Mus musculus: one gene and its partners. The protein of the gene in region 3 purifies or fractionates together with the protein of the main gene of each other region. This does not show direct contact. Links are inferred from orthologs where the notes say so. Each region holds a gene or a part of one and is shown on either strand. Other genes may lie near its edges.

Evidence for each region.
Region 1: the proteins of Stat3 (region 3) and Cebpb purify together in Homo sapiens (affinity purification with western blotting; 3 studies listed by BioGRID, with this or other methods). This does not show direct contact. The link is inferred for Mus musculus from reciprocal best matches to the Homo sapiens genes STAT3 and CEBPB.
Region 2: the proteins of Stat3 (region 3) and Pias3 purify together in Homo sapiens (affinity purification with western blotting; 5 studies listed by BioGRID). This does not show direct contact. The link is inferred for Mus musculus from reciprocal best matches to the Homo sapiens genes STAT3 and PIAS3.

The regions. Positions count from the first base shown.
Region 1 is NC_000068.7:167,686,722-167,692,734, forward strand, and holds Cebpb (CCAAT/enhancer-binding protein beta), read left to right. Parts: upstream 1-2,193; 5' UTR 2,194-2,300; coding exon 2,301-3,191; 3' UTR 3,192-3,711; downstream 3,712-6,013. UniProt on the Homo sapiens protein: Important transcription factor regulating the expression of genes involved in immune and inflammatory responses. Also plays a significant role in adipogenesis, as well as in the gluconeogenic pathway, liver regeneration, and hematopoiesis.
Region 2 is NC_000069.6:96,695,336-96,701,665, forward strand, and holds the start of Pias3 (E3 SUMO-protein ligase PIAS3), read left to right. Parts: upstream 1-1,740; 5' UTR 1,741-1,836; coding exon 1,837-1,860; intron 1,861-2,001; exon of another isoform or gene 2,002-2,782; intron 2,783-4,084; coding exon 4,085-4,502; intron 4,503-4,657; coding exon 4,658-4,742; intron 4,743-4,882; coding exon 4,883-4,933; intron 4,934-5,153; coding exon 5,154-5,244; intron 5,245-5,950; coding exon 5,951-6,085; intron 6,086-6,280; coding exon 6,281-6,330. UniProt on the Homo sapiens protein: Functions as an E3-type small ubiquitin-like modifier (SUMO) ligase, stabilizing the interaction between UBE2I and the substrate, and as a SUMO-tethering factor.
Region 3 is NC_000077.6:100,935,939-100,942,268, reverse strand, and holds the start of Stat3 (signal transducer and activator of transcription 3), read left to right. Parts: upstream 1-2,728; 5' UTR 2,729-3,013; exon of another isoform or gene 3,014-3,196; intron 3,197-3,782; exon of another isoform or gene 3,783-3,931; intron 3,932-6,330. UniProt on the Homo sapiens protein: Signal transducer and transcription activator that mediates cellular responses to interleukins, KITLG/SCF, LEP and other growth factors. Once activated, recruits coactivators, such as NCOA1 or MED1, to the promoter region of the target gene.

The DNA of each region.
Region 1 (6,013 bases), on a different chromosome or scaffold from region 3:
GTGGAGTCTGGTCTCCAGGGCCTGAGTCACCCCTTGAGTCCCCGTGTGACCCAAGTCACCTTTCTCTAGACTCAAGTTTACTGTTAGAGCTGATTATAACCCCAAGGCTTGGGAGACTTTCTCCACCGCCATTGCTTCAGTGTGACGACCCTGAGCTGACTCTTAGATCTCCTGAGCCCCGGTCTCCTAACCTGTGATCGCAAACAGTATGGCTCACCTCCCACAAATTATCAGGGGGATCAAACGAGTATAAAATATGGCTCAGAGACAGCAGAGGGCCGGCTAAGGTCACACAGCAGATGCTCGCGGTACTGAATAACCCTCCCCAGGTCTTGCTGTGTCTCCCCAGAACCCTGAAATGTTGGCAGGAAGCTAAGGCACAGAGCCAGTTTGCCCCAAGGCCACACCCAGCCAAAACAACGAGAGTAAAGAGAGAAGTTGGGCCATGGAGATGGCTCAGTGGTTTAAGGTAGTTACTACCAAGCCTGAAGACCTGAGTTCAATACCCAGGACCCATCTGCCAGGAGAGACCTGTGACAGTCAGCGAACCCCAAGTTCTGACCTTCACATGCAAGTTGTGGTGCACAGTAGATAGATAGATAGACAGACAGACAGACAGACAGATAGATAGACAGATCCCTCCCTGGAGGGGCTGACATGGGGGTGGGCAGCAGGGACAGAAGGATGACAGGCCAGGTGAGATGGGCTTTCAGGTCAGGAGTGTTGGGGGCCAGGGACCCAGGACTGGGCTCCTGGAGCAGGGTTGAGGGAACAGATAGTGTGCTCACTCTCTGCCTTCCTGGAGCCCAGTCTGAGGGGAAACTGAGGGAAAGAATACGTGCGTGCATGGCGACCTACAGGCAGGGAAGAATAGTCACCAGTGTTGGAGAAGGGAGGGCCCGTTAGTGAAGCCCCAACGTCCCACTTTACAGCCAGGCCTGGCTGGGTGGCCCTGGGGATGTCACCACGCCTCTCTGGGCCCTGATCCCTTCCTGGCCCAGAGGCTGCTGGGAAGGCCAGAAAGCCGCAGGCAGGCAGGGCTAGCGTCTTACCCTTTCCCTCCCTGCCCCCCACCCCCAAGGGCACAGGGAGATGTCATTTCTCCAGCTCTTGGGGGCGGAGGTCACCCCAGCTCAGCAGATAACACCGAAGGTTGAGCAACACCCCGCCAGCTTGCCGGGGCCAGGGCTGGGGTCAATGGGTCGGGGGTCAGCCCCTGACAGGTTGGCAGCTCCTGCTTGAGTGGCCCACCTAGGAGTGGCAGAAGGGTGGGCCCCAAGAGTTGCCCTGGGCGTCCTCAAAAGGGTCTCACCGGAGAGAGGCTGGTGATCCCAGCCCATTCAAGTGCACGGGGTGGAGGGGTTGCCTCCCCAGCTTGCAGGGTGACCGCTGGGTCCTTATGGCTGGAGTGGGGTCTACCATGCTCCCACCGCAATCACCTGAGAAGCCTCTGGGCAGGGCTGTGCAGGTCTTAGGAAGGCATCGTACTTCTCGGGGGTCCGTTTGTCTCTGATGACACCACTACTAACAATACCAACACTGTCCACGGAGGGAACTCAGAAGCAAAGTGACTCACCCAGACACAGTGTGGCAGAACCCCCAGCCCTGCCACCTTCATGGAGAGGCGCAGGGAGTGGCGTAGGCAGGTGCGGTAGGCGGGCCATACATAGGGTGGAGGGCTGGGATCCAGGACAGCGAGCATCCCCGGGGTGGGCGTGCACCTGGAGAGTTCTGCTTCCCAGGAGTTGGGGGGGGGGTCCCAGAGGTGTGGGCAGCACCTGGGTGGGAGGACATGCACCCCGTGGAAGGCTGCTTCCAGGGAATTGGGGCCCGGGGACAGCGGGCAGGATCCGAGGGTTGGGGTCGTGTAGCTGGAGGAACGATCTGTTTCCCAAGAGTTGGGGGTCCGGGACAGCGGACCGGAGCCGGGACGAGCCACCGCGTCCTCCAGCAGGGGGCGGGCGGCGGCCGCGCTCCTCCGTGTTCCCGAGGGGCGGGAAGGGGGCGGGCTGGCGTCACCCGCGTCCGTGGCCATCGCGGGGCTGGCGGGACGCCCGGGTCACCGCTCAGCCTCCCGCGCGAGGACCCCCGCCGCGCCCCACTCCCCGCCGCGCCCTCTCGCGCTCCCGTGGCCGGGCAATGACGCGCACCGACCGGGTGGCGGGGCGGCGGGAGGGGCCCCAGCGTGACGCAGCCCGTTGCCAGGCGCCGCCTTATAAACCTCCCGCTCGGCCGCCGCCGCGCCGAGTCCGAGCCGCGCACGGGACCGGGACGCAGCGGAGCCCGCGGGCCCCGCGTTCATGCACCGCCTGCTGGCCTGGGACGCAGCATGCCTCCCGCCGCCGCCCGCCGCCTTTAGACCCATGGAAGTGGCCAACTTCTACTACGAGCCCGACTGCCTGGCCTACGGGGCCAAGGCGGCCCGCGCCGCGCCGCGCGCCCCCGCCGCCGAGCCGGCCATTGGCGAGCACGAGCGCGCCATCGACTTCAGCCCCTACCTGGAGCCGCTCGCGCCCGCCGCGGACTTCGCCGCGCCCGCGCCCGCGCACCACGACTTCCTCTCCGACCTCTTCGCCGACGACTACGGCGCCAAGCCGAGCAAGAAGCCGGCCGACTACGGTTACGTGAGCCTCGGCCGCGCGGGCGCCAAGGCCGCGCCGCCCGCCTGCTTCCCGCCGCCGCCTCCCGCCGCGCTCAAGGCGGAGCCGGGCTTCGAACCCGCGGACTGCAAGCGCGCGGACGACGCGCCCGCCATGGCGGCCGGTTTCCCGTTCGCCCTGCGCGCCTACCTGGGCTACCAGGCGACGCCGAGCGGCAGCAGCGGCAGCCTGTCCACGTCGTCGTCGTCCAGCCCGCCCGGCACGCCGAGCCCCGCCGACGCCAAGGCCGCGCCCGCCGCCTGCTTCGCGGGGCCGCCGGCCGCGCCCGCCAAGGCCAAGGCCAAGAAGACGGTGGACAAGCTGAGCGACGAGTACAAGATGCGGCGCGAGCGCAACAACATCGCGGTGCGCAAGAGCCGCGACAAGGCCAAGATGCGCAACCTGGAGACGCAGCACAAGGTGCTGGAGCTGACGGCGGAGAACGAGCGGCTGCAGAAGAAGGTGGAGCAGCTGTCGCGAGAGCTCAGCACCCTGCGGAACTTGTTCAAGCAGCTGCCCGAGCCGCTGCTGGCCTCGGCGGGCCACTGCTAGCGCGGCGCGGGTGGCGTGGGGGGCGCCGCGGCCACCCTGGGCACCGTGCGCCCTGCCCCGCGCGCTCCGGCCCCGCGCGCGCGCCCGGACCACCGTGCGTGCCCTGCGCGCACCTGCACCTGCACCGAGGGGACACCGCGGGCACACCGCGGGCACCGCGCGCACGCACCTGCACAGCGCACCGGGTTTCGGGACTTGATGCAATCCGGATCAAACGTGGCTGAGCGCGTGTGGACACGGGACTGACGCAACACACGTGTAACTGTCAGCCGGGCCCTGAGTAATCACTTAAAGATGTTCCTGCGGGGTTGTTGATGTTTTTGGTTTTGTTTTTGTTTTTTGTTTTGTTTTGTTTTTTTTTTTGGTCTTATTATTTTTTTTGTATTATATAAAAAAGTTCTATTTCTATGAGAAAAGAGGCGTATGTATATTTTGAGAACCTTTTCCGTTTCGAGCATTAAAGTGAAGACATTTTAATAAACTTTTTTGGAGAATGTTTAAAAGCCTTTTGGGGGCAGTAGTTGGCTTTTGAAAAAAAATTTTTTTTCTTCCCTCCCGACTTTGGATTTATGCGAGATTTTGTTTTTGTGTTTCTGGTGTGTAGGGGGCTGCGGGTTATTTTTGGGTTGTGTGTGGCGGTGGGTGGGGGTGTCGCATCTGGGCTTTTCTCTTCCCATGGCAGATGGGGTGTCAGCCCCTCCCCCCAGGAGAGGGGGCAGAGTGCCAGGTCAGGAATTCAGGGTGACTCAGCACCCACGGGTGCTGGGGGACTTGCTAGAAACCCTGCTTGGGACGGGCCGCCCTCGGCTTGGTTTGAGTGTCAGACTTGTGTTGAGAGGACTAGACATTCTGTAGGAAAGGCTAGTCCAGACAGCTGGGTCAGGGCAGGTGAGTTCTGTGTGTTTGGTGGTGTGGGGGAGACCGCACGCCTGTTTGGTGTCTGTGTCCCTGTGTAGCTGGAAGAGAGATTGGGCCGAGAGGAAGGTGAAGGGAACACTTCCTACTCTGCTTTCCCTTTCTCACTATTTTTTCTGCCCAGAGGGGACTAGGAGCCTCTCTTACTGCGCTCAGAGTGGCTGAGCCAGGACTTGAACGCAGGGCCAACACTCAGATTTGCCGGGGCAGCTCTGCTGCAGCCGGGCCGCATTAGTGAGAGTTGAGGGTGTCCAAGGAGTAGTGGATGTGCTGTGTCCCGCCGTGCCTGGCACGCCAGAACTGTTACATAAGCGTTTGTTCTTGTTATTATTTTTGATGGGAGGCTCCTGGCATTTGACTGTGTGAGTGTGGAGGCCAGCGTTCTGCAAGCCCTGGGCCTGCCTGCCTGCATCTCCTTCGTGCCTCGTGGAAGGTAGGCACTACTGTGCCTTTTGCTTTATGGATTTGGATAGCTTGTGGCTCTCAGGTCCCGATGAGCACCCTGCTGTGAGGGATTCTGGGTAACGGGTAACAGAGCAGTTTGCCAAAGGCCTAAGGGAGCCTGGGATTTTTAGGGGTGACCAGCGACTCTGGTTGGTGAATAGGGAATCTGTTTTCTTCCCTTACTCTTTGGGAACTTGGAGTGTTAAGCCTGGTGACCTGTCTCCCACTGTCACAGGGTGAGGCTCTCTCCGCCTGCTCAATGCTAAGGTGGTTCGTAGCCTGTACAGACCCTCAGACACTTGGCTTCCATTCAGCTTCCTTCTAGGCCTAGACAGATGGACAGACACTTGACCCGGTGGGCCCGGGAGCCAAGGTCAGTGAAACCTCATGGTCCAGTGTCTTGGTGGCTTCTGTCTACACCAAGTGACTGTTGGTCAGTTCCACTGCTCCAAGACTTAGAAGCCAAGCCTAGGCTGGACCTGGGAGATGAGGGAGGCTCAATCTTTCCAAGGATTCGAAGCATTAATGTACCTCTGCAGCCAGACTGGCCGGCATCCATTTCTCAGCATAAGTAACTTGGAAGTCACAGAAGTGCCACTCCCACTGGAGGTCCATCTCCAGCAAGTTTGGGGTGGGTTTGTAGTCCCTGTCCCTACTCCGAATCCTCCATCCTTCATAGACAGTTCGTTTCCTGGCTCCAAGATCAGGTAGCCCTCCGCAAGTCAAGTGGCAGTACAGACTGGAAGGGATATGAACCCAGGCCCATCTGATAACTGCAGGATCAGGAAGAGCAGGAGTAGGTCAAAGGTCAAAGGCTTTGACTGTCATGAGTGTGGCCCACTGTAGCAGAGGCCACTGATGGGGTGACACACCCCATGGATCAGATCACCGGGCTGCCAGGGACCAGCTGGACCACAAGCTTGGAGACAGAGCAGAGAGACAGGGAGAGGACAGCAGCCTGAAGGGTAATTGTGGGGTGAGGATGGTCTCCCCAGGACCTTGTCACAGGTGGGCTGCCAGGGCAGGTCAGCCAGATTGCCTGCAGCCCCACTGGGTGGTTGTCACTGCTGAGACTTGCTAGGAGGAGGGGCAAGCAGAGCCCTCCCCACGCCTGCTCCGGACGGGCACCTTCACAAAATGTATTCTCTCGTCTTACTGTCTAACGCAGCCACCCACAACCTGGTGACTTTACCCAGGAGAAAAGTGGGTGTTGGAAAGGGAAGCTGGAGGCCGCGCTCGCTGTGGTGATCAGCTCAGCTTTGGCCGGAGCTTCTGCTACAGGGTTCTCCTGCCTGGCAGAGACTGCACCACTGAGAAGGGTAAAGGTTGGCACGGGAGCCAGAGTTGCAGGGGGTGACCATCTCCTACAATCTTTTGAGGAATGTCCCCACCCCCACCCCACATATCCAGCCCCGACTTGTTTGCAGACATTTATTTGCCTGGTTCCTTTTCATTTATGTGAC
Region 2 (6,330 bases), on a different chromosome or scaffold from region 3:
AACAGGCACTAGAAATATTGTTAGCACTTTATGGCCTGCAGCTTAGGTTGGGGCTCATGGAAAGGATTACACTGAAGGCTTAAACTAAATGAGATTATTCCTAGTATTTACTAGAGCTTTTTATTATTTTGCATGTTTGTTGTACAACTTGCCTCTGATGCCAGACTGAGCTTTCGAATGGTTTTAAGCCCTCAGCACCTAGCAATCCCTGATTGCCACTTTAATATTTACCTCCCCCCTTTACAAATATTTACTGGACAAATGACATTATCCCTGAGGCCCCAAACAACTATAAAATGTGGAGTTTTTACGATAACTAGTATAAGGAACAGTGCCTTAAAGTAGCTATCTTTATAGATATAGAAATGAACTACTCAGCCAGGCAGTGGTGGCTCATGCCTTTAATCCCAGCACTCGGGAGGCAGAGATAGGTGGATTTCTGAGTTCGAGACCAGCCTGGTCTACAGAGTGAGTTCCAGGACAGCCAGGGCTACACAGAGAAACCCTGTCTCGAAAAACAAACAAACAAACAAACAAACAAAGAAATGAACTACTCAAATCGTCAGGTTAAGTGACCAACTTGGTTGAAACAGGGCCCTTTGGAGGGTCCAAAGCTTTGGAGGAGGAAGTAGGCACTTTAAAGAGGGGCAGAAGTGTGTCTTCTGTACCTGTATCTCCTTGTGTTCACCAACTGTGGGATCCCTAGTTACTGAAAGCATATTTGGAGGTTGGGAGATAGAGGGTTATCTGTAGGGATTGGGCTGCTTATTTTCCATTTGTAGCCCAGGTTTTCCCCCAGATAGATGGAGATCTCATCCTATAACCTTTCTAAACAACCAGAGTCCCAATGCACATAGTCCCAGTCCAGCCCAGTCCAGGCTCTACACTCCCTCCCGCAAGGGATCAAAGGACTACTCAAACTTTGAATGCCCAGAATCTCTTCTCTCCTCAGCGCTCAGAGGAGTTAATAACTCCCGCCCGGCTCCTGGGCTCCGCCCCTCTCCCCTCTCCGAGGTCCTGGCGGGCTTACCCTGGAGGGGGCGGCCCCAGCAGCAACGCTTGGCCGGGCGGAGCTCAGGCCCGGGCGGTGCTGCGGCTGCAGCGTCCAGCTGCCCGACTGAACTCCAGCCGTGCAGCAGACTGCCGGAGCTGCGCGAGCCCTTTCTGCACCGGGGCTCACCCCCGCAACTCTGCGGGTAAGTCCTGCTTTCCGCACCCAACTTTGTTGCCTGTCAAGCCTTGAGTCGTATGGCGCTAGCAGGACCTAAGCTTGTAATTGCTGTGTTCGGGGGAGGTGAAGAATTCGGAACAGCCGTCTCCAACAGTTCGCAAGTCCCCAACTTCCCCCAAAAAGGACAGGAGAGCATCACTTTCAGAGTTGGCGGGACTCTGGGATTTCGCTAACTAAACTTGCGGCGGAGATCTCCGGGGGACAGGGGCTCCAACTTCGCCGCCCCTCCCCCATCCCTCGGAGCTCCGGCAGTTCCGGATACTTTCCCTCCATCTTTCAAGTATCCTTGGCTGCCTAAAAGCCCATCCCTTCGGGTCCGCCTTCTCGTCGTTACCCGCAGGGCCCCGAGATCCCCGGGCTGCACACTCCCTGCGGGGCCACCGTGTCTCCCGCCGCCGGGAGACTTGCCCCGGCCATCCGGCTGCAGGAGAAGGGGCGAGGCCGGCGGCGGTCCGGAGCCCGGCGGGCGGGGCCGGGAAGGGGAGGTGTAGGGGGCCGGACGGGGCGGAGCAGGCGGCCTTTGCGGCCGGCGCTGGGGCGGAGAGTTTGCGCCGGTCCCTGGGCCTGAGCTCCGGCTCGGGCTGGGGCGCCTGCGATGTCTCAAGATGGCGGAGCTGGGCGAGTTAAAGGTACCGGCCCCCTCCCCCAGCCCCAGCAGGACTCGCTCGGCTGCCCGCTGAGGCGGGGAGGCGACCAGGCTGGGCGCAGCGGGATGGGGTGGGTGCGGGCGACGTGGCAGGGACTGGCTACAGGGATGCGCGGGCAGCGGCCGCGAAAAGGGGCTGCGGTGGCGCCCCGGGGGCGGGGCCGCAGGGCAGATGCAGGGGTGGGGCGGAGGGGGGAATTGTCGCCCCGGAGGGCCGAGGCACAAGGGGCGGGGACGCGGGGCCGTAGCCGCTTTTAGTAGTAGGTAGTTGCAGGGTACAGGCGGGCGAGGGAAAGCTCCTCTAGAGGCGTAGGGGTGAGTCCATCAGGCCAAGAGGTGTGACAGTGAGGGGGAGCCGTAGGGATGGGACCCGAGGACCAGATGTTATCAAGCTCCCGGGGACCTGAAGCTTAGGCTTGGGGCTGCTGTGGGCATCCGAGCCTTGGGCAGTACCGATAGGGGGGCTGAGACGTAAGGGGGCGGGGCTGTACAGGAGCGTACCTTAAGAGATGAGGCAGGAGCATCCTGGAGGCTTAGAGTAAGGAACTGTCCTAATGAGGTCCTGTGGTTGGAGAGGTAGAGAAGTGTGAACCACTGGATAGAAAAAAAGTTATTGAGCCAGTGGAGAAATAAAAACAAGTAGGAGGAGCCAAGGATGGAAAGGTAGAGAGAAGGACAAGGTTTTCATCACATTCCTGAAAAGGAGACCAGGAGGAAAAGAACTTGGGAGAGCTAATGGTCCACCCGTGACTAGGTCTTCTAGACATTCACAGAAGGGAGCCCTAGAAGGAGAGAGATCTTGCCCCACCACAACACAGTCTCCAAGGAACCACACCAGAAGATATCCTACAGAACCTTAGACCTTCATTCCCCCATCTTCTGGCTTCGCCCCATCCTTGTCCCGAGTAAGCCTGAGTTCTAGCCATTGGGCCATCCACGTTTAAGAGCTGACTTCTGTGCTTTGGTTCACAGACCCCATTCTCATTCTCTTGGGGTCTCTGTTGAGAAGTTTGCCTTGGTTCCCACCCTGGTGGCTATCTATGAATATACCATGTATGAGAGAAAGAAGGAAGATGGTAGTTCTGGACTGTTTGGTTTCAGACCCCAGGACAAGGGGGCTGAGGTGCATATTTTACATCTCAAAGCAGCCCTGGCCTCCAGGTTCTCCCAGCATCCCTCAGTCCCTACCTGGCATTCTAAGGCCTCAACCCTAAACTTTCCAGCCCAGGGGCTGGGCTGCCCTTCCCCCAAGGTTCTTCCCTATATAATCCAGACATTTTGTGCGTTCCCCCCCCCTTTCCTCCACCCTATGGCGATTCCCTTAGGACAGCTTCCTAATAAACTTAACTTTTTTTTTGTTTTTGTTTTTTTTTGTTTTTTTGTTTTTTTCGAGACAGGGTTTCTCTGTGTAGCCTTGGCTGTCCTGGAACTCACTTTGTAGACCAGGCTAGCCTGGAACCCAGAAATCCGCCTACCTCTGCCTTCCGAGTGCTGGGATTAAAGGCGTGCGCCACCACGCCCGGCAAATTTACCTTTAATCTAATCTAATTTGGCTTGAATTGGCTCATTTCACTGGCAGAGAAATTAGCGATCACTGACAGATGGAGTAAGTCTGGCCAATTACTGAGACTTGGGGACTTCTCCCCTACACATTTTGGTAGCTATCTTCTAGTAAACAAGACTAAAGGAGTATGGGCATGTAGGCAATGAAAAGGTGTGGATGATGATGATGATGGTGGTGATGATGATGATGATGGAGTGTTGAACTCTGGCTTAAAGCCCTGACTTTAAAAAGTTTCAATTCAGAAGCACGGGGAGAACAGGATGGATCAGGTGATAGGGAGGTGGCCGTGGGATACAATCCTCTTGTCACCTGGCCACTCTCTCATGGGCTGTCTGCCCTGAATCCTCTCCTTCCTTGTGTCCTATCTTTTTCCCAGGAGGCTAGGGCTCTGAGAGTCTGAGCCCTGAGAGACAATAATCAGCTTAAGGGAATCTCTGGATTAGGGGTAGGGATGGGGGCTAGGTGGTGCTTGTGGGTTCAGCTTGTCAGGTCAGAGGTACTCAGAGGTGGTACACTAGCTTTAGAGCACTTTTCAACACTGGGGACCGAGAGGAGCGGCACTGCCGCCCAGTAGCTCAGCTTCCATGTCACCAGCAGGACAGGCCCTTTTGAAGCCGGATCGTTTCTGTGCTCTTCCCCGCAGCACATGGTGATGAGTTTCCGAGTGTCTGAGCTCCAGGTGCTCCTCGGCTTCGCTGGCAGGAACAAGAGTGGGCGGAAACACGAGCTGCTGGCCAAGGCCCTGCACCTCCTCAAGTCTAGCTGCGCCCCCAGCGTCCAGATGAAGATCAAAGAACTTTATCGCAGGCGCTTTCCCCGGAAGACCCTGGGGCCTTCTGATCTCTCCTTGCTTTCTTTGCCCCCTGGCACCTCTCCTGTAGGCTCCCCCGGCCCCCTTGCTCCCATCCCTCCCACCCTTCTGACCCCTGGCACCTTGCTAGGCCCTAAGCGTGAGGTGGACATGCATCCTCCTCTGCCGCAGCCTGTGCACCCCGATGTCACCATGAAGCCACTGCCCTTCTATGAAGTCTATGGGGAGCTCATCCGACCCACCACCCTTGGTATGGCTGACTATGCTCCCTCAGGCTTTCTGGATTCTGGCTCAGGCTGGAGTGTTTCCTCTTAGGTTTTACCCTTGTAGGATCGGCACTACGGGATGGAAGCCGGAAGCTTCTCAGGCGCGGGCTTGGGATTAACTGTGTCTTTGTGTTCGCAGCGTCCACCTCCAGCCAGAGGTTCGAGGAAGCCCACTTCACCTTCGCGCTCACTCCCCAGCAGCTGCAGCAGATTCTCACGTCCAGGTACATCTCTCATCCTCTGCCTTGTCCCTGGGGACTGTCCTCTCTGTCCTGTGTTGTCTCGTTCTTTTGCCTGTCTCCTCTCTGTGCCCTGGACAGCTTCTGCTCACCCTCTGAACTGACATCGCTCTTCTTTGTTGCAGGGAGGTTCTGCCAGGAGCCAAGTGTGATTACACCATACAAGTGCAGCTCAGGTGAATTGCGTCTTATTAAGGGCGGGTGCTGGACAAGGGGGGGGGGCATCCTCCTCCTCCCCAGCCCCAGTCCACTCTGGCCCGAGACTTTTCTGGATGCTGATGGCTACAAATAACTATGACTGATTTTCTTTTTTCCTTTTTTTCTGGAGTTTTCTTTAGTGCTAGATTCACCTCAGAAAACTGCCACTTACCCCACTCATCTGTCCTTTCTCGCCAGATTCTGTCTCTGTGAGACCAGCTGCCCTCAGGAGGACTATTTCCCCCCTAACCTCTTTGTTAAGGTTAATGGGAAACTCTGCCCCCTGCCGGTAGGTAAAGAGTCTTTCCCTTTGGCAGCGGATAAATGTTAAGTAAAAACCTCTTATGAAAAGAACTGCTTAGAGTAGTGCCTGGCACGTAGTAGTTGCTCAGTTTATTGAGGAAATCAGTATAATCTAGAGATTATTAAAATAGGGCTGACGAGTAGGTCGACCGTGCTCCTGTGATAGGCCACCTATCTAAGAGTATATAGATAATACAAACTGTACTTGATATGTTAATAAGAGGGAGGCGGCTCAAAGTTGGGTGCATGGAAAAGAGAGGTGGCTCTGGGATGAATTGAGGACCGGGTGAATAGGATCAAAACACACTGTATGATACTCTCAAAGAATAAAAAAATATGAGTGAAATAAAATAGGACTGAATAATTTTTGTCAGAACCCAGGAGAGGGACACCAGTTTAATACAAAGGTTTAGAAAAGACCTCTAAAAGGTGACAGCAGATGAAGTGGACCCATGGGACTCAGTGACTGGGTTCCTAGTTCCTTGGTCAATAAACTCCCCCTTTTACCCCTCAAGTGAACCCCTTACACAGCCTGGCCCCATGAGGGCCTTGTTGTGCAGCAGATTCCTATTCATTTGCTAGTGTGTGAGCTGACCTCCCCCCCAGAGAGTAATCTGAGACCAGAATTCTGTTGTTAGAGTTGAACCCCTCCCAGTGCTCCCTCTCCACTAACAAATCCCTCCTTTCCTCAGGGTTACCTCCCTCCAACCAAGAATGGAGCTGAGCCCAAGAGGCCCAGCCGTCCGATCAACATCACACCCTTGGCTCGACTCTCAGCCACTGTCCCCAACACCATCGTAGTTAATTGGTCATCTGAGTTTGGACGGGTGAGCATATCTGAGGCTGTAAGGCCCGCAGAGAGGCTACAGGGAGCCATCTAGTTTTGGGTTGGGGATTCATCTTGCTCTTCGTAGGCCTCTCTGATAAAGGCTACCATCTCTGGTCTCTGCGAGACAAAGGCTATGGGGAAAGAGGCGGCTTGGGAAGCAGAAGCTAATGGTCCCTCTCCCTTCCCCAAGTAGAATTACTCCTTGTCCGTGTACCTGGTGAGGCAATTGACTGCAGGGACCCT
Region 3 (6,330 bases):
AGCAAGGAATCATTAAACAAATACTAAATTATGTTATCAGAGAGCTAGTAGACTAAAGGGGCCATCAAGTTCAAAGAGAATTAGGAGATATGGGGAATATCTGGGAATATCCTGCTGTGAAGATGAATGCTGTGCTCCGTGTGTGTGTGTGTGTGTGTGTGTGTGTGTTCATGTATGCTTGTGTTCTTCTTCCCCACCCCTCCCTAGGTGTATATATAACAGTTTTCACGCTGGAGTGGATCACCCAGGTAATGGGAGACTTAAGTTCAACATTAATGACCCTACATTTGCTTCTTGCTTTGCAACTAGGTATGGAGCTGCGGAAGTAGCTCAGTGATGAAGCATGCGCAGAGTGATCAAAGCTCCGGACTCTATTCTAAACCTTACACACTCATAAAGATGGATCTGAAGTGGTACTCGAGGTCTCGATCTCCAGGCTTTGGACAGGTTTCAGGCATCTCGGAAACCATAAGTAGACATGAGTAAAAGCCTGGGCCGTCTCTCTCCTGGGGCCTAGAATTCATAGTCTCTGTCAGTCTCACAGACTATCTGTGACCCAGGAGAGGTTGAGAGTCATTGATTCTTCTCGCCAGAAATTAATAACGATATCTATCTTTAGGGAAATAGACTGATGGAGGAAGAAGGTGAAGATTTTTATTAAAAAAATTTCAACCTAGCTGGGCAGTGGTGGCACACGTCTTTAATCCCAGCACTTGGGCAGCAAGAGGCAGGTGTGTATCTCTAAGAGTTTGAAGCCAGACTGGTCTTCAAACTGAGTTTCAGGTCAGCCAAAGCTACACAGAGAAACCCTGTCTCGAGAAACAAACAGACATGGCTGGAGAGATGGCTCCGTAGTTAAGAGCACTGCTCTTCCAGAGGTCCTAAGTTCAGTTCCCAGTTACCATATTGTGGCTCACAACCATCTGTAGTGGGCATCTGACGCCCTCTTCTGGTGTGTCTGAAGTATATAGCTACAGTGTACTCATATAAATAAACAAATCTTTAAAAACAGAAAAATCTGCAGCCTTCCACAGGTGTGGGAGGAATGTTTTCAATCTCAGCTCACTCAGGAGATAGAGGCTGGAAAAAAATCTCTGAGATCCTAAGATCCTGTCTCAAGAAAACAGGATACTAGTAAGAAAACAAAAACCTGAAGTTTCCTGAACTGTGTATATTAGCTGTGTTTTAAAATATACCATTGGGGGATTATCTTTGTGGAGAGGTAACAGCCCCTTGTAGATTTTAGATTTTTATCTTTATCTCTCTTTGTGCTAATCACCAGCAATACAAACACCAATAGGTGTACTTGTAAGTCCCTACCATCACATATACATACAAATCACTGCAGTACGCAGAGTTCATTCTCTATGACAGAAAGCCAAGCATATACACGTACCATGAACTGCTGATTCCAACTCAGTAAAATCTGTACTCCCAACATACAAGACGTGAAATAGGTCAGATAATTTCAAGAGCGTCAAGACCCCCCCCAAAAGACTAAATGGATGTTACTCCTAACTCCTGCCACTCTAGTTAAGCAGTAGTGGGAAAGTGTGGAAGAACTGGTTTGTCTCAATTGGACATTTAAGTTTAATGGTGAAAGACTAGTTAATGTTAACAATGAATCCTAAAATCATCAGAATATTTTATGGGCTTTCTCTCTGTGTGTGTTAGCTTCAGTTCTTAAAATTAAGTGCCTAATTAAAAGTGATTTAATTTTGTCTGCACGTTTTTCTGCACAAGGTGTGTGTCTTTGCTGCGGGCAGAGGCCTGAGGAGGGCTTCAGATCCCCCCCCCCCCCCCAGACCCCAGAGTGGAGTTACAAATGGCTAAGAGCCATCTTGTGGGATGCTGGAACTTGAACTTGAATTTTTACCAGGATCAGCCTGGCAGTCCCCTTAACTTAGGCATCCCTCTAGCTCCTAAAATAAGTACCTTTTAATGGAAACAAGTTGGTCAAAACTATCTTTCAGAATTTCAAGACCCAGTATAACAGTTTAAAAAAAAAAGAACTCAGACACACGTGGAAATGGCAAGTACTGTGTATTCGTGTCAGCTGTCATGCATAGGCTCTCTGCATTTCTGTGAGCTGACCAATCAGCCTTGCTGTTGAGATTCAGGTTTGAAATGGTGGAACAGAGAACCGGGTTATAGCCACTATTCTCCCCCACGCAATCTAGTAATTACTCTATTTCCACGTCATATTTCCGGGTGTATGCCCATAATCACGCAGAACTGAAGTTCAGAGCAGCCAGGAGTTGCCCATGTTCTTTTTTGATGTCTCCACAAACCCAAATGCTTAAGTGGGGTGACACCTGGGGACCGCCTAAGTGGCTGATTCCCACGTGGTAAGGAGCTCACAAACTCGCCCCCACGTGGTGCCAAGGGCCGGGAAAAGGGAGAGCGGGCAGAAGCGAGCCGTATCAGGGCATTTAAAGTGTCTTGACGTCACGCACTGCCAGGAACTCAGCTGAGTTTTCAGCAGGACATTCCGCTAATGTCTCCTCCCTCCCCCCGGGCTTTTTTGTAAGCTAGGCCTCTGCGCGTCCCTTGGTCGCGGAGGGAGGAGCACAAAGCTCTCAGAACAGCCAACTCAGGGAGGTGTGCCCAGAGCTCTCGACCCCGCCTTCTCTCCTAGAGGCGTTTTTCATTGGTTAGTGGGCGGGGCTTAGGAAGTACAGCGCTCGCCCGGAGGCCTCAGGGTGGCCTAGCCAGCTGGCCATTCCTTAATTATGCATGGAGGCGTGTCTTGGCCAGTGGCGGCTGGGTGGGGATTGGCTGGAGGGGCTGTAATTCAGCGGTTTCCGGAGCTGCAGTGTAGACAGGGAGGGGGAACCTGGGGTTCCGACGTCGCGGCGGAGGGAACGAGCCCTAACCGGATCGCTGAGGTACAACCCCGCTCGGTGTCGCCTGACCGCGTCGGCTAGGAGAGGCCAGGCGGCCCTCGGGAGCCCAGCAGCTCGCGCCTGGAGTCAGCGCAGGCCGGCCAGTCGGGCCTCAGCCCCGGAGACAGGTGAAGGGGGTGCAGGGTGGGGCCACCTCCCCGACGGCACGGGGGACGGCATGGGGGACCCCACGGTTCGTCAGCTGTGGGGGTGCTTAGAGCTGTGAATGGACACTTACATGGGGCAGGAGGATAGGAGGAGACACACAGGGTCGTCCCGGCGGCACTGACGTCCGGATGACAGGAACCAGCCTGGGAAAGGAAGGGACGCTGTAAGTTTCGAGGGGGAGATGCGGAGAGAGAGTGGGGAGTTCTGGGGGGTGTAGGACCGTGGGGGGGAGGACATTCTAGGCTGAGGGTAACAGAACTGACAGAAGCGGCCCTCCTGTGACTGCTCCCGGAGGCTAGGGACGTTCGGGCCACCAGAGCCACTGCCACTCAGGTGGAGATCATTGGGGTGGAGGCGTTAGAAGGAGCCTCCTTCCTGCCCCTGTGCTGGGCCTGGCCGTTCCTTGCCTAGCCACTTTCTTTGCCTTGCTCCCGTTCCTTCTGTAGTCAGCTGTACCCACTTAGGAGGTGGGAACTGTTGTGTCTCTCCTCCTGCCTCTCCGCCCCTCCCCCTCCCCCTCCCCCCCCCCCCCCAGCCTCTGGGACTGGCTAGATTTTTTTCTTAAGAATCAGATTTCCTATAGAAAATTGACAAACTTGTATCCTTTCTAAATTCTCTCCCATCTCTTTCTGTGTTAAGCTATGATTTCCCCCACCTTGTTAAGAACACTTTTTTTTTTCCCAATTCAAAATAAATCCCTGGCCAAACCAGCTCTAAAGAGCAACAAACCTCTTTCCTCTTTGACATTGTTCTCTCATAAACACCTGGTAAACTCGACGAGACGATAAATAATTGAGCCATTGCATTTACTGGATCGTGGTGTTGCTTAATTGCACAGGCCAGGGTGAGCCAATCAAGAGTGGGAGTTTTCTGTCTCATAGCCAAGCTCTTGTGTAAAAGCAGAAGCTAGGGAAACAAAGACAGGCTGGCCTTGGCTGAGTTCTGTGTGTAAACTTTACCTGTTGGGGGGTGTGTGGCTATAAATTGGTAAGTTGGCAAAATCCAGACTGTTGCTCAAGTCACTTTTTTCATACCTGGTCCACATCCCTCGGTTGTATCAATTGATGTGTGTATGGGTACTGTCAGTGCTTATTCAGTTTCCTTATTCAGAGTGTGTGTAGTTTATACCTGCTGTTTACTACAGTGCTTATTTGTGTATGCATTGTGAATGTTGGGCTGTCAGTGTAGGTGCAGCATGGACGTGAATATATTAAAGCAATAAATCACTTCTATCTTCTTTTTAATGTGGAATTAGACTGTTAGGATTTGAGCCAGCCATTTTTTCTCTTTTTATATTAAATAATGTCTATGTTCCTTGAGGAAACATGTTTGTTTCATTATTGCATGTGCCGGACCAGAACACTAAGCGGGATCTTTTAATTTTTTTTTAGTTTTAGACTTTATTTATCTTTGTTCTATGTGTATGAGTGTTTTGCCTGCATGCACGTCTGTGCCAGTGTGTGCCCAGTGCCCTAGGTGGCCAGAAGAGGACATCAGAGCTTCTGGAACTAGTGACAGATGGTTGTGATCCACCACCTGGGTCCTGGGAATCAAACCTAGGGCTTTTGGGGAGAACCACTGGGAAGAGAATCTGGAATAATAATAATGAAAATGTTGGAGTGTTTGTTCTTAGTGTTAGCACACTCCCCACAAAGAACCATTAGCAGATTCATGAATCTTTTATTTTCATCTGTAGTTCATCGGGACAAATAACCACTTAGAGATAATCCTCAGTTATGAGGCTCTCGATAGGGGCTGAGAGATAGCTAGGTGGCTCACTGAATGCTAACCTCATTTTGTAGATAAGGAAATTGAGGCCAATAGGCCTAGACACTTGCCTTAAGGCATCGTGAGTTACAATGGTTTAACGTCTGCCTTTTACATATTTCTTGGTCCATGCTTAAGTATTCAGTTTCAATTTAGAGTGAGTATGTTCCCTGTTGAGAAGTATCAGAGAAAATCTGAATAATGAAACATTGGCAGCTGAAAGCCAAAGTAACTGTTCTGTGTCTCACCCTCTCTCCTCCCTCTCCCCCCTCTCTCCTTTCCCCTCCCCCTTCCCCCTCTCTCCCTCTCCTGTTAGCATAATTTACTGTCAAACTTCAGCTATTTTTTTAATGGAGATGTTTAGGCAAATTTTAGCTAAAGGGCGGCTGTGACCTCAATGACATTTCAGCCGGAGAGCCTTGTGGTCAGTGGTCGTTTCTGTCTGTAGAAAGTTCCTTTTTCTTTTGTCTTGACATCCAAATGTGAGAAGGGCGCGGAGGTAGTGAGCACCTTCCTTGATGCCCAAGCCCAGAAGCCTTTTAGCTGATGTTTTCTAAGAGATGGTGATGGTGTACAGCTCAGAGAATACTTAACCTCTCTGACATTGTGAAAAGTGCTAGGGAGAGTGACATCTTGTGTGTAGATTTGCAGGCTGTTGGAGCAACTTGATAAATGCTTTATTGTCTAATACAACACGTTGATGTCATTAAGGAGAGCAAGGCATTATTACTTACACCTGTGCCTTCTGTCCCTCCCTGCTCTCTTCTTTCCCTCAGTTTCCCTCCCTTTTACTCTCCTTTTCTCCCTTTCTGGGGACGAAACCTAGGTTGCTAACAAGCACTCTACCACGGAACACATTTTATGTCATTCGGATTTTAAAGTTCTAGCCAAATAAAAAAACCAAAAAACTCATCTAAAGAGTGCTTGAAGGATAGCCCTAAATCTTGAAGGACTCCTGGTGCTGTGGACCGGCCTCAGTGAGATGGTGGAGGATGGCATTGGCTTGCTGTCTTTGATGGTGAAAAGAATGTTTGGCTTGCTCTGGTGCAGATAGTTGGGATTACCAGATTGTATTTGGTGGCAAATTCTTGGAAATAATTTGTTTAAAGGAGTAACATTTGGAAGAATGAATTTCTACTATGGTTCTCATTTTTTTATGTTATGTTTGCTATAACTTTATTCAGCTAACATACACACACACATACACACACACACACACACACACACACACGCATGCACACATGCTAGACGGATGAATGGTGCTGGCGGCACATGCCCTTAATTCCAGCACTTGGAAGGCAGCAGCAGTGGATCTCTAAGAATTAAGGGCCAGCTGGTCTACAAATTGAGTTCCAGGCCAGCTAAGACCCTGGCTTAAGATGAACAGGAACAAAACACTAAGCAGAAGCTGGCCATGGATGTTTCATGTCTGCAGTTTTAGCATGTGGCTAGCCAAGAACTGAGGCCAAAAAAAAAAAAAAAAAAAAAAAAAAGTGAGTTTGAAGCTAGC